Oreochromis niloticus: one gene and its partners. The protein of the gene in region 3 purifies or fractionates together with the protein of the main gene of each other region. This does not show direct contact. Links are inferred from orthologs where the notes say so. Each region holds a gene or a part of one and is shown on either strand. Other genes may lie near its edges. The genes, in order: eif2b5, eif2b3 and eif2b1.

What was found.
Region 1: the proteins of eif2b1 (region 3) and eif2b5 purify together in Homo sapiens (affinity purification with mass spectrometry; 7 studies listed by BioGRID and IntAct, counting the BioPlex papers as one, with this or other methods). This does not show direct contact. The link is inferred for Oreochromis niloticus from reciprocal best matches to the Homo sapiens genes EIF2B1 and EIF2B5.
Region 2: the proteins of eif2b1 (region 3) and eif2b3 purify together in Homo sapiens (affinity purification with mass spectrometry; 7 studies listed by BioGRID and IntAct, counting the BioPlex papers as one, with this or other methods). This does not show direct contact. The link is inferred for Oreochromis niloticus from reciprocal best matches to the Homo sapiens genes EIF2B1 and EIF2B3.

Annotation. Positions count from the first base shown.
Region 1 is NC_031982.2:7,150,488-7,160,459, reverse strand, and holds the start of eif2b5 (translation initiation factor eIF2B subunit epsilon), read right to left. Parts: upstream 5,340-9,972; 5' UTR 5,117-5,339; coding exon 4,958-5,116; intron 4,734-4,957; coding exon 4,609-4,733; intron 4,523-4,608; coding exon 4,337-4,522; intron 4,250-4,336; coding exon 4,072-4,249; intron 3,985-4,071; coding exon 3,904-3,984; intron 3,819-3,903; coding exon 3,741-3,818; intron 3,649-3,740; coding exon 3,336-3,648; intron 3,244-3,335; coding exon 3,098-3,243; intron 2,300-3,097; coding exon 2,155-2,299; intron 2,010-2,154; coding exon 1,908-2,009; intron 1,820-1,907; coding exon 1,718-1,819; intron 1,178-1,717; coding exon 1,087-1,177; intron 989-1,086; coding exon 865-988; intron 746-864; coding exon 620-745; intron 494-619; coding exon 383-493; intron 1-382. UniProt on the Homo sapiens protein: Acts as a component of the translation initiation factor 2B (eIF2B) complex, which catalyzes the exchange of GDP for GTP on eukaryotic initiation factor 2 (eIF2) gamma subunit.
Region 2 is NC_031982.2:15,474,558-15,484,529, forward strand, and holds the start of eif2b3 (translation initiation factor eIF2B subunit gamma), read right to left. Parts: upstream 5,914-9,972; 5' UTR 5,606-5,913; intron 1,008-5,605; 5' UTR 993-1,007; coding exon 845-992; intron 1-844. UniProt on the Homo sapiens protein: Acts as a component of the translation initiation factor 2B (eIF2B) complex, which catalyzes the exchange of GDP for GTP on the eukaryotic initiation factor 2 (eIF2) complex gamma subunit.
Region 3 is NC_031972.2:11,326,106-11,336,077, forward strand, and holds eif2b1 (translation initiation factor eIF2B subunit alpha), read right to left. Parts: upstream 8,991-9,972; 5' UTR 8,692-8,990; coding exon 8,679-8,691; intron 8,598-8,678; coding exon 8,496-8,597; intron 7,981-8,495; coding exon 7,844-7,980; intron 6,611-7,843; coding exon 6,494-6,610; intron 6,394-6,493; coding exon 6,281-6,393; intron 6,201-6,280; coding exon 6,132-6,200; intron 6,039-6,131; coding exon 5,963-6,038; intron 4,779-5,962; coding exon 4,653-4,778; intron 4,564-4,652; coding exon 4,408-4,563; 3' UTR 4,365-4,407; downstream 1-4,364. Other genes in the region: ATP-dependent RNA helicase DDX55, read left to right, coding at 665-727, 995-1,144, 1,442-1,634, 1,745-1,827, 2,008-2,139, 2,229-2,321, 2,426-2,540, 3,475-3,643 and 2 more.

The DNA of each region.
Region 1 (9,972 bases), on a different chromosome or scaffold from region 3:
ATGAGGCTTCATGAACAGTAGATGGATCGACTAAAGGAGGTTGGTGTTAAGTGGCTTAACAGACAAAACAGATTCCTCTGAAAAAGATCAGGTACAAGGACTGGACTAAAAGTGAGTGAAAAAGCAGCCAATGTCCGAAGAAAGACTGAAAGATTTTCAGAAAGCCTGGACAATTAAAATATTACAGGAATGTCTGGCTCTCTTGGAAACAAAATATAAAAAAATTGGGGGTAGCTCAACTGTACATTTGCACAGTACTGTAATTCCTTTCTTTATATATACATAAATTTACACTAAACTTGTTCATAACGTGAATACTGAGCTTAAACTCTGTTGCTGCTCTGTGCTGTCTCCTGTAGACTGTAGTTCACACTGTACTTACCCCTTGGTTTTTGCGGAGCTGTCTGCTTTTGTCACCGGTGGCTCCCTGAGAGAACCAGCGCAGTATCATTTCCTCCTCCAAGATTTCCAGCTCGTACATATTCATGAGAACCTGAGTTACAAACAAATCAGCATATTCATCCTCATCCTAACAGGCTGGATAAAGACACAGCAAACAATTCAAACAATTAATTTTAACAATGCAGTTTTGCACGTATCAGTGCTAATTGCTCCTGACCTTGACCATAGCAGCCCAGTGGCTCTCCTGCTCCAGGAAGTGTTCCTCAAAGGCAGACAGGCAGTCTAGATGGTCCTGTGCTCTCTTCACATAATTCTTAAACACCGGCGCCCATTTCTTCAAAAGCTGACAGCCGCACAAAGAAAAAAGAAGAAAAAAAGAAGGAAAATAATTAAGAGTTTTTCGTTTTTTTTCTGAGCTTCTGTTTTGTCATATTAAAAGTAATAGACCTATATCTTATTCACCGGCAGAAGCAGAGCAACGTATTGTGAAGGGGTGAGATGTGAGCCCTGCTGCTGGAAAGGGTACTCCAGTACCACTCGGGTTAAAATCTGCATCACCTCTTTCAGACTGATATTGTAGGCATACCTGGAAAAGGAGGGGTTGGAGGGGGAGTGGGAAATGTCAAACTAAGCAACAATCACTGCAAAGAGGAGCAACACAGGTGTGAGTCAATTCCCCCTTACTTTAGAGAGTTGATCTCAAGTACGAGGTTGTCACAGCTGATGTTCTCCTCCAAACCTCTCTGCAGGGTCCCGAGCACCTCCATGTGGAAGACTACATAAGGGAAAAAAAATGTATTAGTATTATTATTGGTTTTGCAGTTTGTGTTGTCATTTCGGGCCAGTAGGGGGCAGTATTATAGTTTCACATGCAGGCTAGCTAAATGAGGCATGATCTGATATCGTCGTGTTGGTGTTGTTCCCAGAACATCATACTAAATGTTGTTCCAGGATCAACATTGCAAGTGACCAATCAGAATGCTGTGACGTCATAGTTTTGGGACTTCGGGAAAAACCGCTGTAAAACAAAAAACTGTACTTAGGCTGCGAGAAACCGCCTCTGTCCACCGATCAACGGACCCTGACCCTAATCCTAACCCTAACCCTTTAATAAACGGCAAGCAGAATTGATATTGTCCTTGCAACATTTGAATTTCATAAATGCACGAATGGCTTGGCGCGCAAAAGAATAACGTCACAACATTCTGATTGGTCACTTGCAATGTTGATCCTGGAACAACACTTTCATGATGATCTGGGAACAACACCAACACGACGATATCAGATCATCCCTAAATGAGACATGCCCTCTCACCTTTGACATCGTCCATCTCAGGGGAAGGAATCACCGGGTCATCAGGCCCATCAGTCTCACTATCTTCACTATCACTCTCAGGGTCTGGGTTCAACACCAAGCCTGGGAACACACGAAAAGAAGCATGCTGGGACTTCAGCTGAAGCATCATGGGAAATGCCAGTTCCATGACGATGAACTGCTGCTCTACCCCAGAGACACTGCGACAGCTCCTCTTCCTCTGTGTCATCCAGACTGCTGGCCTTCCAGATGTAGCCTTTTCCTTCTGCTCCAACTTCTGCAGGATTGAAAACTGGAAGACAGGAGAACATTCACATCAAGCAGCTTGATAACATATAAACTGATCTAATACAGACTTAATAAGATAAGATAAGATAAGATAAGATAACCTTTATTAGTCCCACACGTGGGAAATTTGTTTTGTCAATAATACACACCTTTCTGTTTGGTTTTGTCCGATCTATGGCCAACCTCAGCGTCATCACTGAGGAATTCATCGTCATCCTCCTCCTCCTCCTCCTCTGGATGGTGCATAGACACCACGGTGCCTTCTGGTAGAGAGATGTTTGGTCCAATTACCACCTGTAAAACAGTTCATAGAAACATTCAAATATGCAGATACTGCAAATATGACTTCATATCTGATGACGTTTTACAAGACGATCACTGAACGCACGTCCCTGATTTCATGCATTGAACTAAGCACGTGTACCAATAGCTATATATTTGTAGTACTACTGTGGGTAATTACTTCTCTTTTGCAGCAGGAAGGTGCAAAGGAGCAACAGCCAGCAGACTGTGAGCCAAATCTGAAACCCTGTTTCCAGTTGGATTAAGACTAGTAAAATCATTCTCTTTTAGTGTAAATCAAAGCTACTTTTGGACATAAAAAAGAGCACAGAAGACTAAATATGAAGGAAACAGGCAACCAACTGGTTGGCTGAACTTTGCACAGACACTAAAACCAAAATTCTTCTATCAGTATTGCTCAATATCTGACATAGTGTGGCATTGCAGTGGATATATGTCAGATTATTTTTTGCCCATTTGCCCAGATTTGTGGCATCTCTACTAGACTCCAGAGTGTCACAGCTACTACACAAAATCCAGTTAAGAACCAGATATTTGCTGTGGTTATATTTCTGTAATAACAAGCCATTTTAGATCCTTTAAAAGTTTTTGTCAAATCTGCAGATGTTTTCTCTAAAAAAAGAGCAAAAAAATGTCAAGAAAAATGGAAAATTTGCCAGTCTTGATGGCAAAATGCAATATCCTTAAAATCTATGCAAAATTGCTATAACGCCTTTAAAATGCAACATCAATTTGACACCAGAGAGAGTTTGCTTTGCAATTGGATATAAAAGATGATGTGGAGCTTACATCGTATGCTAGAACACACTGTTTCTTAAGAGTCACGCCCTCTTTGACCTCCGCCTTGTCGCAGATGACAGACTGGATGATCTCCACATTACTGGCAATGTGAACATGATTCCAGATGTAGGCATGATCCAGGACTACATTGTCACCTATTGCAGTGAACCAATAAAAGAAAAATGTTAACTACACTTCTATAACTTAAAAATTGAAGCACTTTGAGTGGTGCTGCCAGAGAGTTCACCTATGATGCAGTTGTCACCGATGACACTGTTCGAGATGTAACAGTTGGCACCGATGCTGGTATCGCAGCTGATAAGAACGTTCTCCTCCATCTGGCTGCCATGGCCCAGGCTGACACCAGATGCCCTGTAGACATTGTGGCGAGAGTATGTGCAGCTATGTCCCTCCTGGTCTGTGAAGTTGGCCTCGGGGGTCAGGGGATAGACCCACCGCCGCACGAGGTCAGACGACACTGAGTCATACATTAGAAGGTTCGACACTCGGACACCGTAACCGTCCTTTGTGACATGCACGTGGATCTGGTTGCCCAGAATCTAAACAAAGAAAATGAACAAGGGTCAGAAATGCTCTAAATATTTTTTTGTGCCATTATTCAAATTTCAACATAATAATGCTTCCATAGTACCTCTTCATTGACCAAAAGCCCTCTAACAAAGTCATCTCTAGTTTGGTAGTCAAAATTGTCAGTGAAAAGCTCAGCAACCTAAAAGAAAGGACACCAAAAACAAAAATGTTACTGCAGCCAACAATGACAGTTAAATATTTCCCCTGTGTGGCCCAAAACCGACCTGCGGGGAGCAGATACTGATGTGGCTGTCCAGGAGGTCATGTCTGATTTCAAATTCATCGCTTCCACTGTGGAAAATATTCTGCAAGTAAGACAAAAACTCAAAAAGTCAATCAAACCCCAAAATGCATCAAAGATATAACAGACTGCCAAAGATACAACTGTTTACCATTGGAAACTGTAGCTTCTTGAGCCCTTGTGTCTTCTGATAGTGTAAAATCTGCTGGCTCTTGCTGTCCACGGCCACAATTACATCGTCCTCCTCACAACGAGACCTGTGACCCGGCGACGATTCTTTAAAGATCATGGTCATCACTGAGATGTTCTTGTCCATCTTTCGGCGATGCCTAAAGTGCGCAAAAACTCAGCCTTGTGGAAACACTTAGATCAACACCATTTCTCATGTAGAAAAAGGCTGGCCGGTGGACTTTTACCTGTGCTCCTGCAGAGCCTGGCTGATATCAATATTGGATACCACATCTCCGTAAACCAATACAAAGTCTGAGCGCACCAGGGACTTTGCATCAACATCCCGTAGCACATCCCCAAGGGAGCGGTACAGGTCCGAAGTAATGATGTGGACAGTGTTTGGAGAACTGGGTCGACACCACTTTGATTTCCTGTCAGACACAATATTCATAAGTTTTCATACAGTAAGCCTCAGAAAACAAAAGCTCACACACACAGCAGCAGCAGGGAAACTCACTGCAAGTGCGCCTTGATTTTACTGGCCATCCAGCAGCAGAAGACAAATGTTTCCTGCACTCCAGTAGAAGTGAGGAATTCCAAGGTGTAGTCGATCATGGCAACGTTACCCAGCGGCAGCAGCGCCTGTCATCAATGAAAATGTGACAGTTAACTGGAGCTAAACAATCACGAGACTCGCGTGATTCTCTCATTTTATCAACTACTGTACAGACAGCAACAAGCACGAGTTCAAGTGTCGTTTGATTAAATGCTTTCATCATCCGTGTGAGTGATGCACTGTCACTGTTTACAGCATGGACACAAGCTAGCCTCCATTAGCATTCCGGTTAGCTTAGCTCACTGCCTACCCGCGGCTGGTCTTTGGTCACTGGGAAAAACCTCCGGTTGAAGCTGTCAGCGACTAAAACCGCCTGCAGCGGCTGGTCCTCTTCCTCCTGGTCTCCTGCACCTTTTCTGCCTGAAAGGCCAGACGCCGACCGACTTTGTTTCCCCCCCTTACTAGCCATGTTTGACTCCCAGGTAGTAGGTACTAAACGCTTTCGTCAGACACAGCTACGGCAGCTGCAGCGGGACAATTTTATTAACAGTATTATTGCGCTGGCACGCAAAGTGGCAGACAATCCCCGCGAGAGCGTTTGCGTGAAGAAAATTACAGTTTAAATTTTGTTGGCCACATACACTGCGCCTAGTTTTATCTCATGTTGTCGCACAGGTAAAACCACTGCGTAACAACGCATGTATGATAACAGTGCCAAATCGCAAAGTTGAAACAACACCACTTCCACATATATATATATGTTAGATTTAATGAGCGATCCATCTATGCGTTGTTGGGGGGGGTTTCCTATTCAGTGTACTCACTACATTAACATTACAATTTACAGTTTACAGCGAAAAGCCACAAAGTGTGTGTGTGAAGTATATGTGAAATAAATATAGCACCGCCATCACCGCACCAGGGACATCAGCGCATTTCCTTAATGATTTCAATCAGGCCTGTCCACGGTGCTCACCGCTTCTCGCCCTAAGGTAGCAGAGTTCCGTTGATGGAACCAGATGTACAGCCTACCAGTTCCAGATGCACTAATACACCCTCATAGACCTGATCGGAGAATCAGGTTTTTGAACTGAGTACTGTTTTCTTTTCCAAAAAGAACTTCGAGATTTCGATTAGTCTGACCACAAAACAGTTTTTTACTATGTCTCACTCAATTTCAAAGGAGCTGTGGCCCCAAGAAGACAGCATTTTAACCTATGTTTGTGGATGGTACAGTGAGCTGTGTTCACAGTGATTTCCATGACAGAATCATGCCTGTTTTTATTGCAGTGCCACCGGCTCAGAGCGCAGTCACACAATTCAAGACAGTTTCTTGATCATATTATGAGTTGTAGATGCTGAGATATTCAAAGCCATTGGGATGAAAATTATAATGAAACCGTTTCACAATTTAAAATTGTTTTTTTACATAGTGGTGAACCTCTGCCCACCTTTACTTGAGAAGCTTTGCCTCTCTAAGATGCTCTTTTTATTTCCAGTCCTGTTAATGACCTGTTCCCAGCTAACTTAATTAGTTCCAAAATGTTCCTCTACCCGTTTCTTTTCAGTGCCACCTACTTTTCCAGTCTTTTGTTGTCCTCATGCTTGTGTCATCAAATTTAAAACAACCTTATTTTTGTCTTAAAATGGTACATCCTCTCAGTTTAAACATTTCATGTTCTCTGTGTTCTGTGAATAAAATGTGGGTTTATGCAGTTTGCAAATCAGTGCATTCTGTGTTCAATTACATTTCACACAGCGTCCTGTTTTATTAACTAATTTGGTGTGGTTATAGATTTTGAAAGAGATTACAAAATATTCATCTGGTGTAAATGAAAATCACTCTTGAGCTGCTGAAAGTTTAAAATGACATAAAAGAAAAATGTGACCTCCATGTGGAACATGGAATCTCAGTATACTCATACAATCAGCTCCTGTTAATGTTTTATTAATGTTATGATACTGGCACTGGAAGGCCAAGTGCAGCAGTTTATTACAGCTTCAAAGAAAATTTTCATTCACTACTAAAAGGAAAGACAGATGTGTGAGTTATAAAAGCACACTGTAAAATAAATAAAGGCAGGTATTATTTTTCTTTTTATTGATAGCCTTTACATCTCTGATGTGCTTCCTGCAGTTTATGGGCTCTTGATACAACCTGTGGCTACATAAATGCAGTACTGGATATTGGAAAAATATCATTTGCAATAACTGTGGTGCATGGAGTCTTTTTCTCTAAACTCCTATATTTTGTGTTGGACCACAAATCACACTGTCAGTATGAATAATGCTTAAATGACATATACAGAGCCCAGAAATAGTAGTTACAATAGTAATTCATTTTTATAATAATGATGATCTTTACCATATCTTGTCACAGAACATGTGAACCAACCTGTTTTACTTTAACAGAAACAAAAACATCTGGCTCCTGCCGTCCAAACGTTTAAACAGGAACCATCATTCGCTGTTCTGTCAAAGCTCGACAGTTTGTCACACTGTTCTCTCTAAGCCTTCTTAAAAGGCATTACGCCGACAGGTGTTTGGTTATCTTCTTGGCATGCTCCAACACCAAGTCGTATTGCAGGGTCTTGGACTTCCAGGACTCCGGGATTCCCTCAAGTCCGACCTAGAAGAATGAGAACAGAACATTTAATAAATCAAACTTAAAACATGTGCACGTGAATATATTAGATTAACAGGCAGCCCCACCTGAGCCCCAAGACAGGCTCCTATGAAGGATCCTCTGCTGCAGGTGCATCCCCCGCAGCTCATGGTGTCTTTGACAGCCGTCTCATAGCGAGTGGCTGTCAGGACTCCGTGCAGCGCGGCTTGGAACGCACCCGGCAAACCTGAAACATCAGAGGCAGATGTGAATGGCATGAAGGCATTTTTCCTGGTTTGTCTCACAGCTATCCAAATTACACATAGTGCTCTTATACCACATGTTACTGTTAAGGACTACACTGATGTCAGAGGTTGAGGGAGCTTATCAAAGATACCTCATGCATTTGTGAAGACAGAGGGGATCAGCTTTTGCGGAGTTTTGGATAAATTCTCCTTCACCTGGTGGATGTGTCCTGAAATCAGGCAGAGAGGGTGCAGTAGTGAGTCAAACATAAGATGAGATGTTAACAGAAATACTAAACATAACTCTCTGCATATCTCTTTATCCTATCATCGTTATGTCACATTGGAACTGAACCTTCAGAGAATAAGGTAAAATAAACTCTTTGATCACATGAGTCGGTCTCATGACTTTAACACAGGGAAGGAAATATGCTGCTGGCCTCACGTACCGATGACTGCTTTGTCTAAATCTTGAGGCTGCTTTCTGTTTGGGTCATTAAGCTGATTGAGCACCGCGTCCAAGGCTTTTGGATCTGGACCATTCAGGATGAAATGTTCCAGAAACCTGGGAAAAGAAGTCAGTGTGGAACATTTCCGTTTTATGTTTTTCTTTATACATCTTTGTAGAACAGTATTAAATATGCGTTCTGATTTTGCCTCACTACAGAGAAAGATGTAATCAACCATGCAGCCAAACTGGAACGATCTTTAGAGACAATCAGCTTTCATGTGGCTGATCAGTTTATTAAAATGTGAAACGTGTTCTCTTCCCTATTTTTATACTCTCTGCTCCAAATACTTCTTATTATGCCCAATTTTAATTACCAGATCTAATAGTCTATTGTGGTTTCCAGGTTAAAAACAAAGTTGTTATTAATAACCCTTAATTAGCCAATTCTCACATCCAATATGTGTAAACAAGTGAAACTGGTGTGCCTGGAAGATGTCCTGACCTCGCTGCTGCTAGAGTCTCCGCCACACATTCATCATTGTTCTGGGTGACACGGATGGCCTGTTCCACCTTCTCCAGCATGTCAGGCTGTCCTGCATAAAAAGCCACTATAGGAGCCAGTTTGGCTATTCCATCAATCTGACAGTCGTTCTCACAGCCTGAAGGAAAGCAGCACAGGTTTAGGTTAGAGATATTTCTCTTCATAATGTCAAGCTGTGAATAAGTTCAGAAACTTTACCCGTCTCCTCTTTGCCTGCATCCACATTCTTCAGGAAGCTCTTTAAACTTGCATGTCTCCACGGCCCATCGATGGGCAGCTGAGGTCTTGGCCCTGCACAAGTCCAAATTGCATATTTTGTCAAAAAGGTAACGGACCTCAGGGATATCTCCAAGATTTCTCTTACCTCCCCTCTCTCTGTAAGGATCATTGACGGGCGTGTCATACTCTGATCCTGGCCCAAAAACTTTCAGTGTGCGCTGCTTCAGGTCATCAACGTTTAGACCTGGTCAGAGAGATCAGGCATCTTAGACAGTGTGTGAAAATTCCCTACACACTGCACGAACCCAGTCCCTGCATGCAGAATATGTGGATCTAGAGTAACGTGTAATATTTCTTTGAGGACAGCCCACTTTCTTATATTTTCCTTATATCACTTGTAAAGATATGAGGCAATTTCATGGGTCCAGTTGTAGTTAATCCCTTTATGTTGGACCAAGTGCTACTTCTGGTAGAATTTAAAGCAAATCCATCCATAACTTTATCAATAATTCTATTGACAACAAACTGAATCAACTGCATAACTTCGCTTGCTGTAAATAGTAGTAATCTGAAACCTACTATGACCTCTAGAAATGTAAGTTTAGTTTAATTTTAGTGATAAAGTCAGCAGCACTACCTCCACATTCAGACAGGGACTCCAGCAGGACATATGCCTGGTCTCCATAGCAACTCTGCTTGCCAGTCTCCCTCCTGTAAAAAGGGTTAGCGGACTCAGGGTGGAATTCCGGGTTTGGATTCAGAGCCAGGATCCCCTTTAACTTCTGGAGGTCGTACACCCAGTGGAGAGGCTGTGCTGCAAGAGACAAGATAATTACACTCTGAACCTTGACATTACTCAAAACCTAAGGAGATGTGTTAAAAATAAGAAAGGACTGAAAATCCACTTCCACTCGTACAACCTGAAGATCTGTGTACTCAACTCAAACCAGGAAGCTCTCACCTCAGCTGAAAGATACCTGCTAACCTTATGACAGCTCAAAAGTTATAGTCTTGACAGTTTTGACAGGCAACAGAGTTTATCAATCTCTCACATTGTTGTGGAAGAAATCTGCCCCACTCTTCTTTACAACATTGATTTAGTTCATTGATGTCTGTTTTCATTTATGCACAGCTCTCTTAAGGTCCCATAATCGAATTGCAATCAGGGTGAGGTCTGGACTTTGACTGGCCCATCGCAACACGTTGATTCTTTTATTTTTCCAGCGATTTTTTTTTTTTTAAAGAGATTTGCTGCTGTCCTTGG
Region 2 (9,972 bases), on a different chromosome or scaffold from region 3:
GTAACTTTTTGTTTCTTTTAGGTATTTTGAATGTTTTAACAATGGTGAAAAACATCTAACCAGTTTTAACTTCCCAGAATTTAGAGTCCAAGTAGTTGGTCAACAACTACTTGTGTAGGATAGATCTTGCTTAAAGTCTAGCATTGCATTTTATTGCTTATCCCCCAAAACAGATAATTTATTAAACACACAGCTATAGTTTGCACTTCCCTGGATTCTGCCTGACTTTAACAGTTCAAATGATGAACCAGCAATGAAAGAAATACAATTTTTTAAGTCACAGTTGACATGATTATAATCATAAAACCATTTTTGTGACCTCCTCTGACATTCTCTCTTCATTATGTCACTGCAAAAATAACTATCTCCCTTTAAGAGTGCTCACAGTTTTTACATCAGTTTTTGTATCTGTAATTTAATCCTGACAGTACTAACATTAAAAAAAGGAGTCCCCAGTTATAATAGGAGGTGAAACTATTTTTCTTATAGGTCTGAGTTTCCACTTTTTGTTCCAGACTTTCCAAGTGGGCCACATAAACTTACTGGCAGGATTTTTGCTTCTTTACATTTTATGTGGAAAGCAAGAATGACTTAGCCCCAACTTTAAGACTTCTCCCCCGCTACCACTTACACAAAGCTTACATGCAACAAATACAGTTAATGTGAGCTGTACGCAACAATATAAGACCTGATTTTATAACTTGAGATGACCTATAAAGCAACAAATATTTTCACATATTATGGACACCTAGACCTATGAATAATATTTTTAATATTCAGTATCAGCTGAAATAATAGCTGAACCAAGAGATAAAGAAGCATTATATTTATTGCTAGCTCTCACCTTCAAATCCCACCTTCTCCAGAAGGTTAAGGGGATACCACATAAGGGGCTTGTTGCCAACAGGCAGCATAGCTTTGGGGGTGTTGTATGTCAGATCAGTCATACGAGAACCCCCACCCGCCGCCATCAGCACCGCTTGAAGCTCCATGTCTGCTGTAGATGGCTAAGAGAGGAGGGGACATTGTAACTGAAAACGTATAACATACAGTACAGACCACAGGTGTAGACTTAGTGCTTCAACAAATTAATACAGCACTAGAATACTGTCTATAATATATGTGTATAACACTCTGTACATTAAAGCACAAAGTGTAAATTATGTTCATATTAACAACAATGTGAGTTACTAAATGTAAATGTACACCATGGGTAAATGGGCTATTGTACATCAGTTCAATATAGTTCATGCACAAGAACACAAACAGATCCTTGTTAAAGAAGTAAATGTCTTTTTATTACTTTAATTATTAGTTTTTAAATGCATTTATTCCTACATTTTTGTTCATTTTAAGTAAAATGTGTAAAATGTACACAAATAACATACTGATGATGCTGTGTGCCTCAGCTATATACTCCAGTCAGTCTTCCAAGTGACACTCCCTCTGCTCTAGCCTGTTTACCTTATTCAAAAAGTCTTAGCTCACACCAGCAAAGATTGCAAATTGATATTTTCTGGGCTCCAACAGAAACTAATGGCTTCATCACCCCTTCTGTCTTTTTAAACTGCCCATAGGATGTCATTCATTCAAATGACTTAAACCCTGATATGTTCAATGGATACCTGGTTTTACTGGAGGACTATGATTTAAAGTATGAATACATCCATCCATTTCTCTTCCACTTCCACTGAAGCCTATCCCAGCCGTCACAGGACATAACGCAGGGTAAACCTTGGACAGACGGCCAGTCTAACAGAAGGCTAACACAGAGACGATCAATAATGCTCACATTCACACCTACAGTCAATTTACAAACACCAATTAAGCTAACCCCATGAATATCTTCAGACTGTAGGAGGAACACAGTAAACATGAAAACTCCACACAGAAAGGCCCCAGCTGGCTAGCATACAGGAAGCTAATGACAGAAGGTTAGCAGTTTAGAGGCATTCCACACCTGCTTCAGATGTTTAGTAGTTTGTAAAATTGCAATCTGTGGTCAAGTGAATTGACACAACTGACAAGCTCTCTATGATTCATTTACTCTCAAGCCCAGTGCTCGCAAAATCACTAGCCCGACGTCCCGGGGCTAGCGAATTTTCCAGTCGGGCTACCAAAATCTATCTCAGTCCTGCCCGTCGGGCTATCATAGGAAGGAAAAATATATGTCAATGCTTTTGCATTCTTTCGGAAATGTAGCTGGATAATTACGTCATTGGCATCGGGGAGCCACTGTCAATATGTGACATATTGAAATCGCGTTTGAATTTGCGCTTGTTTTTTGCTTTCACTTTGCGATCCCGCGAACTGTGTATAGAGAGCGGCAGTACTGATTGGTGAGTGACGATTAATTGCGCACCAATTCCTCTGACATCGTCTTATCACTCATTAGCTTACTATTCAAACCTGACAAGTGAAATCTCCCACAGCAAGCTTAAACATGTGAGAGGTTGATTGCGCAGAGAATCGCTGACCGTTATGCGAGTGCGTGTGTAAAAGCAGCAGGATATATATTTTAGCTCTGCTGAGCCAAACAAGACAAGTCAGGGTGAAGAAGGGGCAGCCAAAGAAAAGCCTACCACAAAACGGAAAAGTTATGACAAATCAGACTATGAGGGAAAAAGAAAGTGCAGCTTTACGGTTTCATGGACAAAAGAATTTCTGTGGCTGGAATATGACAAGCTAAATAACCAGGGGTGCACATAAGTGGTCCGCAGGTGCGCATTCGCTGTCAAAAAAAAAATAAAAATAAATATATATGCGCACCAGATAAGAAGTTGCAACGCGCACCTCCAGATTTTCTGGAGGAGGACAGACATTTGTTTAGAACTCCTAAAGATGTCGAAGAAGCAAGCTCCTTTAAGCAATTACTTTGGTGTTCCTCCACCTCCAAAGAAATGTCAGGAGGAGTCCGAACCGCAAAAGAAGCGCGTATTCTCGGAAAAGTGGTTGCAGGAGGTGAGCTGGCTTCAAACAAATGATGAACACACAGAGATGTGGTGCAGAATATGCCGTGAAAATCCCACTCTAGCGGACAAAAACAGTGCCTTTTATATGTACGCAAACGCGCGTTGCAACTTCTTATCTGGTGCGCGTCTTTTATTTTGACAACAAATGCGCACCTGCGGACCACTTATGTGCACCCCTGTAAATAACAATGTTCTGCCGGGTGTGTTGTTGGTTTTCCCTCGATTTCTGAGTCGACAAGCGCCTTTGTTACTGGGACCAGTAATTTTAAGAAAGACCCCCATTAGAACCCATGAGAAATGCAAGAAATGCAATATTGCTCAGTCTGCAATATCTTTCCCAGAACAAACACCAATTGCAAAGAACATACTAAAAATAAACCTGAAAAATCTGTTTAGAACAGCGTACTATGTTGCAAAGAGTGAACTACCATTGGCAAAATTTAGCAGTCTTTGCAAACTTCCAAAAAAAAATGTCCTAGATCTTGGTTTCACTTATCTCTTACCCGTGACTTCAGTGGAAATTCCAAATTCAGGACCTGTCACAGACTGATTCATGTTCTACACAGTTCTTACAAGTGCATAGAAATTTCTGTTCAATTAGAACCAAGTATTTGAGTTGATGATTGTAATTTTTATACAATGTTTAATTTGTGTTTCAACAATGTTTTGATTAATGTTTTGTTTCCGTTACAATATTATACTTTAATGTATAATATTGTAACGGAAACAAAACAGGAAACAAACCATCAATCAAAAAAAAATTGCTCTCTTTTTTAATCGGGCTACTTAAATTTATTTTGGGCTACCACAAACTGAAGAGTCCCTGCCCGAAGGGCTACCAGGGATTTTGAAATTTTGCGAGCCCTGAAGCCTGTGTGACTGAACAGTGATGCTAGACGGACTTCATTTTACAAAGTTAGGACATTAATGTTAAGGATCAGTGCACTCCTACTCAAAAGACTGAAACTGTGAATTCCCTAAAATACTAGTATCATCATCATGATCATCAAGAACTGTATTTTTCTGTCTTTCATGGTATTGGCTTGATGTACTGTGTCACTAATGAGGTCTCGGTGCTGATGGATGAGCACAGGAGTCAGGCTTCTAACATTTCTGAATGTCATGATCATGCTGGCAACTAGGGCAGTGCCACATTAAAACAACCACAAAAATACCAGTGTAACTTTTACACAATATAAAAATGTCTTATCGCAAGGTTCTTGCCTTAGCAACACCATGCATTTACATTCCCTAGTGCACACGACAATGAGACAAGACTAGGCATCTCTGAGAGTGAGAGCCATTGACGGTTTATTATAAACGAAAACCATACTTTGCAAAATATCCTAGTTCCCACTAAAAGCGAAAACAACAAACATATTTCAGCACTTGGAGCAAATACACATTGCCACAGATTGTACAGATTGTACAACCAGACTATAAAGTAGAAGATACAGTGCAAATGTAAACAAACGGCTCCACCGAGGACCACTAGCTGTTCTCTAAATGCCAGGGAGAACAAACAGTGGATGGAAATTACATATGTGGTTACATGGTGGAATAAGCAGGACATTAAGCAGCTGGTTAAAAGGCTGGTGACCCAACATACAACATCCCAGAATGTAATGCTATGTAATCACTACTTCACTATCGTGCTGGTACCCGAATAGATTCACACTTCAATAAGTCACACTTCAATCAGCATTATTGTTGAGTCTTTACCTTAAAATATAAAGCACCTTGAGGCAACTGTTGCTGTGATTTGGCACTATATAAATAAAATTGAACTGAATTTAAATTAGTGTTTCATCAATGGAAAAAAAGGATGGAAATACACTTTATTTACAGTGATGCTTATGCCTGCAAGCTGCAAGCATCAATAAAACCTTGTTCAGAATTCTTTTCTATATAATCAGTAATACTGTTATTGCAAGTTTCATTAAAATACTGTGATATAATTTTGAAGTTATACCGCCCAGCCCTACTGCTTCATTCACCTTCATTCCAAGAGCATGCACAGCTTAATACCTGTTGATTGGACTCCCAATGTCTTTTTTTCCCCAAGCATTCAGTGGTATCCACCTTCAACGCCATGATACCAGTGCATCACCAACAAGTTTGCACAACTGTGCTTCATTGTATGTAAACAAGGATGCCTGTGCTTTATTGTAACGTATGGCACCTATGGTTGCCATTATGCACCACAATGAGCGAGAATGTGCTGAAAATAAGGAAAAAGAGGAGGAATCTGCATATTGTGTTTATCATGATGAAATATGACATCTAAAATCGCGCAGTTATTTGACTCCTACAGTCATAGCTTTCTTAGTCTCAGTACAGCATGTGCTTCACACAGCGCCTGCTCTAAATAACAGAGTGTACGAGTGTACGGAATGTTATATTTGCCGGGTTAGGTGTGCTGCACACACACTCGCAACAGACGGCTCAATCCAGGTCCGCTTTCACATATCTTTTATATCTACCATGTCATCGCTGTAGTAACCACTAGCGCCAAACTGGCATGTGTGCTCAGGACATACCCTGTTGACCGAGTGCACACCCATCCTTTAAAAATCAGTTTGAATTAAGAATTAATTCAAAGCCGAAGCAGTGAGATATAAAACTTTACCTACCTGTCAGAATCCCTCCGAGCTGTTCGGCTGCCTCGAAATGACAGCGGTGCAAGACGCATGTAACTTACTTGCCGTCAGTGTTGTTAGCACTCGGCTAAGGACTAGCAGCGAGCAGTAAACGATGCCGCTTTTTCAGAGATAGATTACAACCAACCGGACACGTTTCTGAAAACCGACATGTAACTTAAATACAAGTAAATAACAGATATTTGATTTCTCGCTAAATAATTTAACAGTAATTACGCAAAAGACGCTAAGCAACTAGCATTTTAATGATGACACCTGCGTGCCTTTAGTGAAATGCGTCCGTGCGGGAAACTACTTCCTCTGTAATATGGTTCCGATCAGAGAATAGGAGAAAAACTAGACCATGATTTGTCATAGACTGAAGTTTTTTACAGACAAGAGGAAAAGGAGGAATGGGTATGGTTGAGAAGAACAGATCTGTTTAAGAAGAAAAAAAAAACTTCACTCTGCTAGGGTATAATATCATCATGCTGGCAAGCTAAACTATGATTTATACTAAATTAATTTTCCGAGTGATGATGATGATAATTGTTTTACATTATTAAAGAGATAAAGAAGATTCTTTTTTTTAAAGCTGTGGTACCAGGAATTACAAATGTTCACACATAGTAAAAATGTGAGCAGATTAGCGGCCAGAAGCCAAACAGCTACTCCTTTAGACTTAAAGCTTAGAAAAATCCCAATTCACAGAGCTGAGACGTAACAGCAAATTGAGCTCGGGGAATGTGGCTCTGGTTTTGTTTGCTCTGGCCAGGAGATGAGCTTGACTGCTCGTTACTGCCTGCTCAAAGCCAGGCAAGCACGAGAAGGGAGGGAAGAAGGAGAGAAAAAGAAAACAACAAAGAGACGAAGAGGCCTGACTGCCTGTTGTTGCCCAAACACCATAATGCCGAAACTATTGAATGCAATTTCTCCACCGTGAATGGTGATTGCTGAAAAAGTGGGTGTCCAGCTGCATTTGCTGTCTGTGATTTTTCATTGTCTTGGCTGAGTATTGCTAAACATCAGTTGAGGTCTAAGTCAGATAAGCAGCGCAGAAGAGCCATGTAGACAAATAACAAAAGAACAAACTCTAAAATCAAACAATCCCATATGCTATTTATCTTATAAAAGCATACTTTAACTGACATATGATCATTTCTGTTTATCATCTTCTGAAGCCTGCAAGGTGTTGTCAGTATGCAGGTGGCATCTTTGTCAGTTCATACAAAGGAATCTAGGAAAACAATAATAAAAAGGCCACAGTAAAAGTCAAATAAAGACCACAAAGATTACTTAACTTAGCTGGTTAACCACAGGGAGCTGAAGTGTGTGAGACATTAGAGAACTTGGCTAGTTACAAGAAAAGCTCAAACAGCAAGATAGCAAACATGTCTAAAAGGATATCAAAGTTGTTTTTTGTTTGTTTGTTTGTTCTTGTAATAATAATAATAAACGGGGTTAGTACAGAAGTTTTTTGTGTGATGTCATCTGCACAATACTTGAGTTTTCCTCTATAGTGGATGTGATATCCTTGTGATGGTGTTGTTCTTGAGTCATAATAATGTTGTGTTGTAAAAACTTTGGAATGTGGTGGGAAAACAAAAAAGTGTTTGTTTACATAAACTCTCTTCTGGAATAAATGGTAAGTGTTTTAGTTTTTAATAGCAATAGATAACTTCTTGGCTAATGCTAACTGATTGCTCAGACAATGTGATTGGCCAGTTGATGAGATGTGCATGTGTTTTATGCTAAGTTACGTATTACTTAAAAATTTAATTAAGTACAAAGATCTTACATGGCTCAGCTTCTCTCCTCCTCCCCTCAGACATCAATGTTTCTTGCTTATCCTTTCCATACTTCTACATTCATATTCATTTTTCTTTATATTATTGCTTTTCAAGGTTATTAAAGATCTCAATAACTGTCATTTTAATCTCTCTATTTTTAATGCAGCTTTGACCGACTATAGAAAAAAAGGAAGCTTTTCAGCAAACTCTGGTTTGCTTGCAGAAAGGTTTCTAATAGGCTTTGTCATCATATACTGCCCTAAGGATATCCTTCCATACACATAGAGAAAATGCTATTGAACAATCTCTCTCTTCATTTAGCATGTTCATTGTAAGGAGGAGCCCTACAGAGACACACTGTAGGGCTTCTTTGATATATGTGGGGAAAACGGGGGAGAAGAAAACAGAATTGAAAAATGAGGCAAAGAGGAATCACATGTAAATTAAAAAATTCCCCGAGCGTATGTATTTTACATATTTTCAAAATACGCTTTATTTGTCAGAAATGAAGACATCCGACTGAGCGGTTAGAGGAAGACAAAATGAAAAAAGGTCCAAAACAGAATGCCACAACTCCGAGACAGAACCAGATGGGGATATGCATGCAAACAGACATGGAGACAGTCGTGCAGGTCTAATCGTTGAGTGACTTGAAATGGAGCCCTAAGATTTCCTCTGATTTCCTCTCCCTCCTTGGCTCTGTTGCAGCATCTTGTAAATCATTCTCAGTTCACTGAAACAAGCCAGTTGGATTAGCTTGGTTTAGATCATAAACATTTGTAGCACAGACCACCCAGCGAGAGAACAGAGCCAAGGCGAGAGTCTGTGTGAGTGTACATGCATGGGTGTGTTTGTGTGTGTGTTTGAAGCCTCCCTCTGAGTTTAGAGGTGGGTACTGCAGAACATACAAAGTCACACATGCGCACACACACAAACGCACACACACACACGCACACACGCACACACATACTTATACTGTGGTTTGTGTTTGCTCCACTTCCAGGGCCAGTGCTCTGTGGGGCCCTTACCACTGCTATGGAAACTAAAACCGGCACGTTCGCCCAGTCAGTGTCAGAGATGAACGCACATGCTCGCAGTTCAAAGATTAAGATGTCTCACTGTGGCAGCGATGCAGAAACTGTTTTACATTCCTTCGGTGATGTGATTAGTTTTTTTCTACTAATTTACTGCGAATGCACTTTCGTTTATTGCATGCTAAAAACCTCCCTCTTGTTATGAAATACTTCACAAGATCCATTGTCACTGTTTTATTGGACTGAAACCCAGAATGCAAATTTGTTCATCATCAGCCTCAAAACCAGCTGTGAAATGTTATATGTCAAACAACTGTGATATAAAGTGTGTTTTTTGGGGACTCGCAAATAAATGTCATTTTTTTTCACCTGACATTCAACAGTCTGCGTCACTAGACCTTGAAATTCATTCCTTTTCACTTGAACACAGTTGGAGTAATTCTCTTCTTGTTTCTCTCTGCTTTCAGGAGGGATCTGAGAGCCAAGCTGGTGTCAGAACCAGGAAATATCTGGGTTGGGTTTTGAGAAGCCAGAGTGGGAAAAGCTGGACAACTCCCTGCTGCAGGGCGCTGGCACTTTTCTCTGTAAGATGCTGTTTGAGGGTCTCTATAACCCATCTGACTGTGCATGTTATCCATTTGCATCCCTCCCTGTTGAGCTACAATACTGGCAATTGTTGTCTATCGCTCTGCCACATTTTCCATTACGAGACTCCGTATTTACTCAATTATAAGACAATTCCTTTTTTCTGAAAATTAAATGTAAAATAGTTGTGGTCTTCATGAGTCTGAGGGTAAATGCTGGATCTTCGGTAACAGAGTATAGCAGCTGTTGAAAGTGAAATGATTATATTTTTAAAAAGCGTGCTGCAAACGCAAAGGCTGTCATTGTCAAGTTTGTAAAGGCCTTTCTCAATCGTCTCTGTGCGATAAAGGCTGTACAGGAAGGCTGTTTTGAAGATCTACTAAGGTGGTAACAAAGGAAGATTAATATAGACTTATACAGGAAAAGTGCTAATGGAAGAGGGAGGATTTTGCAAGAAGAAAGGAGAGAGTTTGCCCATATCATTTGAACTGCAGCTCGCTGTCTGCGTCTGTGTGTCTTTGCTTGGCCACATTCTGTCTGATGGACTTTCTGGGAGGTCTGTTAACCACACAGGGCAAACACGAACAGACACACATGCACACACACCTTTATATATACACTCTATAGCAATAAAAACAAAAGTATATGGAACATTTTGTACCTTTTGTTTAGAGATCATTCATTTCAAATCAATCTAATTGATACCTTTATATTGGGGATGAACACCAGATCATTACATTACACTGCTGAACTGTGTTATATATTATTTAAATGCAAAAACTTGAATTTTTATAGACTACAGTATTATAACCTAAGTTAACAAATCCTAAAGTTTTCAAATCCTAACTCTGTAACTAACTCTGTAACTATCTAACCCCTAAAAAGCAAAAGCATAAATGTACGAAATTAATAAATCGCTCTCCTTTTGGAACATTTTGTGGGTAAGCGATGA
Region 3 (9,972 bases):
TGGTGAAAAAGTCTGTCTTTAAGAGTGTGGTTAGAAAAGTCAGAAGTTAGTGAGGGTGGCCTCTGCCTTTACAGCTATCCTTGGATAAAACTGGAAACTATTCTAATGGTCGTTAATTCATTATTGATATATACTGAGGTGTCAGAGGTTGTCAAATATCATCATCATAATCTAAGAACGAAAGTGTTTTAGATTAATGTCGAAATATCCCAGTATATAATAGTGGCTTTAATAAATACCTGCCATTATATCTTAATTGCCCCTTGGGGATAAATAAAGTCTTTCTGATTCTGATTCTGATTCTATAGCAGACAGGAAAAGACCATGGCGATGTGCCCATTTACATATGTGACACAGTTACTGTGGTACTGTCACAGTTACTGAAAGCAATATAAAACTGATGAAGGTGTGCAGACAGGATATATGATGTGTAATAGTCGAATGAGGTAAAGTTGCCACTCTGCTCCTTAAACAAATAGCAGTGCATCACTGATCATGTTATTATTTTGAGCCTGTGTCACCTACAAAATACAAGTAAAACCCCTTGAAAAGCATAATTATTATTTTAACTGAACTGTGACTGAAATAGTAACCGGTTGTATAAACCTCTACTTCATTAATGATCGGAGAAGTCTTTCATGTTTTCCGACTTGTTGTTTTTCAGGCAGATTTTACTTATCGGTGGCAGTAACCCAGCAGAGGATGTGGAGAAGTTCAAGGATAAAGGGTATGTGATGATCTGAGGGCCTTTCCACCAACACACAACTGGCACAGTTTTTCAGCTGGACTGAAATATATCCATTATAAGCACAATGATCCACAACCTTGTTCTGTTAAGAAGTAAAAATTGGGCTGTGTTAATGAAATTAGTTTTTCTGAATGGTTCTTCATATCAATGGACCCAGGAGTATTATATCAAAACCTCCTGTGCTATCCATCACAGAATCACGTTAAAAACATCCAGACCTCTTGAATTTGTGCATCTGTGTCTCAGAGCAAACATTGTGATTGCGACACCGGGACGCCTCGAAGATATGTTCAGGAGAAAGTCTGATGGTCTGGACTTGGCCAGCTCAGTTAAGAGCCTGGATGTGCTGGTTCTAGATGAGGCCGACAGACTGCTTGACATGGGATTTGAGGCTAGGTATGGAAAAACTCTTTAACATTTATTGTTTTCAATGCCAGAAGAAATTATGCTGAGGCCTATAGCACCTCTTCAGAAAGCAACACAAATGCATTTGGGCTATGGGGATTGACTCAGTTTTGAAAAAAGGTCTAGTGACTGTTAGAGGAACTGCAGTTTTTTTGTGCTTCACTGCTGGTGAAGTCCAATGTTAAAGCACAGAGCATGCCAATAAGAACTATCCAAATACTTTGTGTGTTTGAATTTTGTAGTGCGTTTTAACTCGTTATAGGTAACAGTCTGTATTTGTGTATCCAGTCTAAACACCATCTTAGGTTACCTGCCTAAGCAGAGACGTACAGGCTTGTTTTCAGCCACTCAGACCCAGGAGCTGGAGAAGCTGGTGAGGGCCGGCCTCCGGAACCCCGTACGGATCACCGTCAAAGAGAAAGGCCTGGCCGCTGCTGCCACCGCCCAGAAAACCCCTTCCAGGCTTTCCAACTACTACACTGTGAGAGAATCAGCAGTGCAGTGCCTTTATTTATTTATTTATTTATTTATTTATTCATTAAAGTAGAAAAGTGTAGCAATGAAACAAAAAATCTCATGCTTATATTTCAGATTTGTAGAGCAGAGGACAAGTTCAACAACCTGGTGGCTTTCCTGAGGCAGCACAAGCATGAGAAGCTTCTGGTCTTCTTTAGGTAAGTTAAAGTGGTGCACAAAAAAACTTGGTAGCTTTCAACTTTGCTTGTGTGTTGTGCGAACCACTAGACTGCAAACTCATTGTCATGACAACAGTTTCTTTTATTGGAAAATGTTTTTCTCCGTGACATGTCCGATTAGGTCTGTTATGACATAATTCGTTGTCATCTCGTCGTCAGTACCTGTGCTTGTGTGGAGTATTATGGTCGAGTTCTAGAGATGTTGGTCAAGAAGGTCACCATCCACTGCATCCACGGCAAGATGAAACATAAACGCAACAGTATCTTTGCTGACTTTCGGAAACTAAAAAGGTAAAATTCAGTTTGTCTGTACAGGTACAGTATTATAGCTGTTTTGGGAGGGGGTTTGTACATCATTTTTTTGCTTGGGTGTCATGCAGTGGGATCTTGGTGTGCACAGACGTGATGGCCAGAGGCATCGATATCCCTGATGTTAACTGGGTGCTGCAGTATGATCCTCCCAGCAGTGCCAGGTGAGTCAGTACTGACTACATAACTGGATCTTTTGCTCACTGTATGCACCTCTTGTTTTTGCATTTTATTTATTTCATTTATTTATTCATTTGGTCTGACTCAGTGCCTTTGTACATCGATGTGGGCGAACAGCAAGAATTGGTAATTATGGCGATGCACTTGTCTTCCTGCTTCCAATGGAGGAAACCTATGTTAACTTCCTGTCCATCAATCAGAAGGTGAGTTCAGCAGAAACTGAAAGTGATCAGTAACTTTTCACACCGGCTCTCTGCTCTGGTTGCTCCTAACCGAGAGTCTGTACTATGAAGCAAGTTCAGCATACTTGGGACCTCTTTTAATTGTATGGTTCACTTACTCAGAACATCAGCAGTCAGGTTAGGTGATCACATGATCGCGAGGACTATGTAAGTAAACAACCTCAGTGTCACAGCTCCTTCATTGCATATTTGTAATTTGTTCAGTTGTATGAAGCAATGTGTTTTTTTAAATGGTCTTCCCCCAACATTTAAGAAAATGTAAGCCTCCTTTCACCTGCATTCTCAGTAGTGTTAAATGATCTGTAGGCAAGTAATGTCCCACACCTTTAAAAATCCAACACAAGTACAGGGTTTAAGTGTACTAGGATTATATCTTTATATGAAAGCTTAGAATTATTTAAAAATTGCTTGCAACCAAAAGGGGAAAACAGAAATAAATTTGCTGTTGATAATATTTACATCTAAAAGTACACATTTTTGCATGTTTTGGTTTCTGACAGCTGGTCCGTCACATTATTGTCCCCCCAAAAACACTTCCATTATGTTTTGTGATTTATTTTTTCTGCTTCCATTGTGTGTTATTCAACTTCTATTGTGTTTTCTGTGTTTTTGAGGAGTGTGTTTGACATCTCAGGGCCACTGTGGAACATAGATATGACTTTGAGATGTTCTGACTTTTAATATACAATTTGTCATTTTTTGTTATATTTTCATTTTTCAAATTTAACTGTAGTCACTCTTACTTTTTCATTTCAGGTAATAAGTTCCATCAAATTGCAAAGGAAATTCTTGGAAATATTTTTTCCCATTCACAGCTAAATTCTTCGGAAAACTATAAGGTGCACAATATAGAACCTGCAATATACAAATCTCATCTTGTTCATCTACTCTCCAGTGTCCACTCCAGAAGATGTCCCCAATAAAAGACGTGGTGGATGTACTGCCAAAAGTGAAGGCCATGGCTCTGGAGGACCGGGCCATGTTCGAAAGAGGGAAGAAAGCATTTGTCTCGTACGTCCAGGCCTACGCCAAACATGAATGTAGCCTCATCTTCAGGACCAAAGGTTAAAACAATAAATCAATCAATCAGCAAGCACACATGTAGAGCATCCTAAATATTATTCAAATACATATTTGTTGTACCCACAAACAGACAAATGTAAATTTGTGTCACATTTCCAATGTATAGATCTGGATTTTGGCTGCTTGGCTCGTGGCTTTGCACTTCTTCGCCTGCCCAGGATGCCTGAACTGAAGGACAAAACGTTTCCTGATTTCATTGAGACGACAGTGGACACAGACACCATCCGTTACAAAGACAAGAACAGGGAGAAACAGAGACAGAAAGCACTGGCCGAGCTTAAAGACAAGACTCCCTTCCCTAAAAAGAACTTTGTAAAAAATAAGGCCTGGTCTAAACAGAAGGGCAAGAAGGAACGCAGGCAAAAGATGGCAGCCAAGAGAAAGCATAACGAGGTATTTCCGTTCACTCATCATTAATGGTTAGATGAATTAAAAACATCTGATGACTACACTTTTAACTCTTGTGTTTCTGCAGGATTCAGATGTGGATGATGAAGACCTGAAAGAGCTTTTAGATGACACTCGTCTCCTCAAGAAACTAAAGAAAGGCCAAATCAGTGAGGAGGACTTTGAGCAACAGATAACAAGTGGAGCAAAGTCGAAAGACAAAACAGAAGAACCGTAACAGTTTGGAAGAAGACAATGGACAATATAACAGCTGTTCAGATGTATCCACCAGAGTTGAATTAAATCTCTGACACATTTCGTTTTTGTTTGTAGTTTTTATTGGAGAATTGTGAAGCAGTTATAAATAAAGTTTGATGAGTTCATCGCTGACTGCAGATGGGGTAAGGACTCCCAGGTCAGTGAAGAGGAGGGTGATGAGGGAGGGAGGTGTGTAATCAATAATTGGATGTTCTTCTGACAGGTTCTTTGCGGTCTTCAGGGTGTCTGCTTTGTACTGTTGAGCCCCAAAAAAGATATGTAAGGAAAACTTCTGAATATAAAATAAGGGGGGGGGAGAGAAAAAGAAAATCTGTACAGTCATACCTTAAATTTTTCTGGCACGTCCTGTTGGTTGAGCGGGTACAGACGTACGAATTTGAAACTCTCTGCCACGACGTAGAAGGGTTTGTTGTGTGCTTTGGAGCACAAAGCCATCTGATAAGTGCCGATCTGCAAGAGCAAAACACCAAAGTCTATTATTGTATCACAAGCAGTGTCACATTTATCACTTTTAGGGTGAACAGAGTGCAACCCGAGTCACAATTTTAAAATGTCCCATAAAGTTACAGTTTTAAACAGACTGTATATCAGGGATCTCAAACTCGTATATTGAGGTGAACAAATAAAATAGAATTTGGCCCTTGAAGTTACTTTTTTTGTTAGAGAGGATTTATTTGTTGTTGAGTGCAATGTTTAAAAAGCAAAAAATTATTTAATATGGAGGCAATATGAGCAGGAAGAACATGTTGAGAGAATGGCTTTGTTAGTTCAGTGGGAGAGTTATTTGTAAAGAAAACAATTTTCACTAGCAGTCAAAAACTAATGTGTACAATTATGTCTGTATTTTTATTTTGTTAAATACGAACAAAATTATAGCAGTGCTGACACGTGGTCAGAAAGAGTCAATTTGGTAGTTCAGTGAAAGGCTTCAGTTAAGAGTGAGAACTTTTTTTTTGTCTTGTTATACAATATTTGACAAAAAAAAACAAAACCAAAACACAACTCTACATTTTCAGAAATATTTGTGGGTGTTTTCTTGCTTGTTTGGGTTTTTTTTGTAGTACTAAAACTCTAAAGTGGCCCTCAAATGAGATGACAGTCCCAGCAGTGGCCCACAGCTCTTTTAAGATTAAGACCCCTGCTGTATATTAAAGATGTAGCTGCCATGATATCGCTGAGGCATCATTGGTTAGCGAAGTCCTGTTATGAAGCCCCAAACTAAACATTTTCATTGTCTCCATGTTGGTGTCTTAAAACAAACTATATATGAAAAGTGAGCAGTCACACAGTAAAGCATGCCCTGATTTTTCAGGACATTGATGGAGACCATAATTTATAAAATGATCAGAATACAACACAGAGAACCCTGTGCTGTAACTTGACATGCATCATGTTACAAATGTAACTACAGATCACCTTCAACACACTTGTTTTATCATAAAGCGTCATTTATGGTTAGCCTAGACTACAAAATGCTTTGATGTATGGTTTGGAGTTGATGGCACTAACAAAAAAAATAATTAAACAAAAACAGGTGGCCAAGAGAGGCCCAAAGAAGAAGCAATAGCCAGCATTTTGACACTGATTTGAATTAGATTCAATTGAAGAGCATCTGAGTTTTTACTGGAACACACCTTATTGATGATCCCACCACTCTCCACAACTCCCTCAGCACCAACGATGACTAGATCCACTTTTTCCAAGACGTATCTGTAAAGAATGACAAAAAATACAAAACTAATGCAAATGACATTGACAAGAGACATGACATTAAAATCAGATATTATTAACATCTGTATCCACCCCACAGCTGCATCCAGCACGACCGTTACTGGAACATTGAGTTTCCTCAGGGCTTCTGCCATGTGTTGCCTGAATAAAAAAAAGAACATAAATAAGCCTGTGTCGTTTCAGAGTAAGACTAGAATACAGTATATAGACTGCTCCCTCACCCAGCTGCGTCAGGCTGCGATTCAGTCACATAGACAGAGAATCGTTTCTTCTCAGCTGCAGCTTTTTCCAGCACCCTGAGGACAACTCTGGAGTAGGAGTGAGTCAGGATTTTCTGAGAGAGACAAGGAGAGGCCAGGGAGAAGGAAAAAAAAAATGCATCACTGAACCTTTTCCCTGTAAAGAGCAAGAATTAGGTTGTGTTCCGTACTTACAGCGCCATCTTTAATAAAGGTGTGACAGAGCTTGGCGACCTTGGTCCTTGACATGGAGATCTTCTCTAAAAATAGTTCTCCTCTCTCCTCCATCACCTTCTTACAGCGAGACAGGTCCTGAAAAAAATAAATGTTAGCATCTGCCTTGGATTAAGATAACAGGTCTGATCATGCAAACATACGGTGCAGCCTCTTTAAATCTAGCCAATCTCCATAGCAGTTCCAGCAAAACTGCTATTTCTAAGTTCCTCCTAATGTGCTTTCTTCTAAAATCTTGCACTTTTGCATCTACAATGTGTGCTAGAACTAATTTGATTTAAATTTCTTTTTGGGAAGGAGAATGATGTTCCAAAATTGACAATGTGACATTTGGACAATGTGTGTAACATTTGGAAGCCATTTCTTTGAATTCGGAATATAGAGTCAGAGAAGATCTCAAAGCAACTTACACAGGCCATCCCTAGTCAGCAAAAAACAAGCACATCACAAAGATCGCAAGAAAGTTGCAAACTGCTGAAAGTTTGGTCAAATGAAACTAAGAACAACCTGCAGTAGAAAGGAGAGAACAAAGCACAGAAGCTTTGGAATGTCTTATAATCTGAGACAAATAACAGCCTCAATAAAACATGGTGGAAGCAGCAAATGGGAGGGGTGTGCTTGGCTTCCAGTGTTCCAAGGTCACTAATTTTTATAAGTGATGTGAAAAACAGACAGAGCTGAATGCATACTGAGGTGTGCAGAGCTATCATGTCTGCTTACAGCAAAAAAAACCAGTCATATCCAGCAAAGTCCCACAATGATCCAAAATACACTCTAAAAGTAGCGCTGGAGTTTTTGATGGTCAGGAAATGGAATATCCTGAAGCTGTTGGGTCAATCACGTTGTCTTAACCTGATCAAACTGTGTTTCACTCACTGAAGACAAAACAAAATACAGAACCATAAACAAACAGTAACTAAAGACAGATGCAGTAATGGCCTGGCAAACGTCATGAAGGACGAAATACATTCTTTGGTGATGTCTGTAAGTTCCAGGCTTCAACCAGCCATCAGCTGCAGAAGAGTACGAAAAATAATCACAACTATTTTCCAATTGTGACACCTCCACCTAACAGTTTTTTCTTTACTTTGATGATATTTGTTCTCCTATATGAACCATAACTTTGCTGTAGAACTGCAGTGTCTCTTTTAATAAAGTTCTTTCGAGAACAGTAGCACTTGCACAGCATCCATAAGGTCTGACTCGATAACATACAACAGATCTGGTAGCACTCTGATGATTTCACTCAAGTTATTCACGCTTAATTTTGTTCAATGTTTAAATCTCCAACGCCAAACTGTCTTCACTCACCTGGTGCTCCAGAGATGTGAGGCTTATGAAGCGCAAGAAGAGCTCCCCTCCCGAGGAAACGGCCACAGAGGAGTCCACTCCTGTCAGGCAGTCTGTGGCTGACGTAAGGCTCTCCCTCAGCCCCAGGATTGTTTCGCCTGAAGGGGAAGAGACAGCTTTGTAGTTCCTAGTAGTTCCTTACAGTGCTCTTTCAAATCTGTGAAATCTTTATTTTATTTATGGTAGAAAAAAATAATAATTCTTTTTAAAACTGGATCTCCAAAAGTTGAATCTGTTCATCTGGACGTAGCGTTTTGTGGGAGAAACGTTTCGTCACTCATCCAAGTGACTTCTTCAGTCTCAGCTGACTGCAGGTTTCCCCAAATCTTATAAACAGTACATTTGCTGTTTATAAGATTTAAAACTGGACTTGACATCTGGGCTTCAGTAGCTTCAGTAACTTTTTAAAGCACTGTTTCAGATATTTGAAACACTCTAGATGCTGTTTTCAGATCTTGGCCCACATAATTATCCCAGAGAAACTACAAAAAAAACTATTTACAAATTGAGAAAACACAAAAAGGCTAAATTTCAGGTCTTCTTCTCCACATCCAAGCGAGAATAAGAAAAAGCCGAGACGTGTCTGTATTAACACCAAGGGCATAACACTAACCTTTATCTCTCTTGAGGAATTCAAGCAAAGTGCGGATGGCAGCAACAGCAGAGGCCATGTCCGGGTCTTTCCTCATCTGATCCCTGAAATACTCCACCAGCTCTGTCCCAAGGCACAGAGATATGCAGTTAATATTTCTAACACAAAAAAGCAGAAATTTATTTTTAAAATCAAGCAATTTACCTTCGTTGTTCATCCTGAAAGCAACAACAGCGCCTAAAAGCAAACCACAGAAGATTTCTACAGGTTTCAGTCAGTGCACTCTTTCTGACACATGCCAGAGCGGCTGACTCCGCTCACTATCTCCTTCTTTCAAACGAAAATATTCACAGCGCTCGAAATATTGTTTTAAGTCAGCCCCACTCTGAATGTAAGCAAAAACCTACTGAACACTGTCTAAAAGTTGCTCCTGTCACTATTTCCAACTTACACACCATTAGCTCATCCTGCAAAAGGCAGGTTGACGTGTCGCAGAGTAATGACGTAGGACAAAAACGTCTCCCAGACGCCGTGCCGTTCACGTGAAGTTGGAAATGTGATTTTTTCTTTTCTTCTTTTTTCTTTCATTCGTTTATTTGTTTCTTTGTTTTCTGTTTTTGTTTGTTTGTTTTTATAAACCACAACAAATGGCAAAGTGACCGTAGTGGCAAGATTCAAAATGATGCAAATAGCTCATATTGTAACCTCAAAAGGAAAGAAAATAACAGCAAAGATTGTAAAATAGTAACATAGTAATGCAGAATCTCCACAAAGTGAATGAAATGACCATAAATCAACAACAGAGAGATAGAAATTTCTATTAAAACATATAAATCCTAAAGAGATTCACTTACCTATAACGGGAGACAACCAGACCATATGAGAGTCAGAGACAAAACAACTGGTGAGAAACCATTTGAACTTTGTATTGGTATCAGATCCATCCATGTTCATGAACAGTAAAGCACAGACATCTAATAAGTAAGTTGCTTATTCCATTCTGTAATGTAACTGAAAGGAAATATAAGTGTTTCTTATTCTAGTGTCCTCTGGGCATAGTGGGCATGAAGAGGTACAAGAGCATAAAACAAAGTTTATTATGAAATATGTCTTCATACCAGCAGTTATAATATAATAACATTTACACATTAATTAACATTTACAATAATTATGTACCTTAATAGAACTACACTGCAATATTACGGGTCATTTATGAAATTAAGTATACTGCTTACACAGGGTGAAGTGTCAACACATACTTTCGATATTGTTCTATAATTCAACTTCCAGTTAATCTTGATACGTTTCACAGCCTCAAATATAGCTAAATAGCTCCCAAACCTTTAACCTGTACCACAGTATATGAACTAAAAATGTAAACACCGATACACATAACAAAATACATATTTTAAAATGTTAATGAATTAAATTAAACTTGATAATTAATGTCAGTAATGATTTTTAGTGGGCTCACTTGGCTTTAATGGCTTATAAGCAC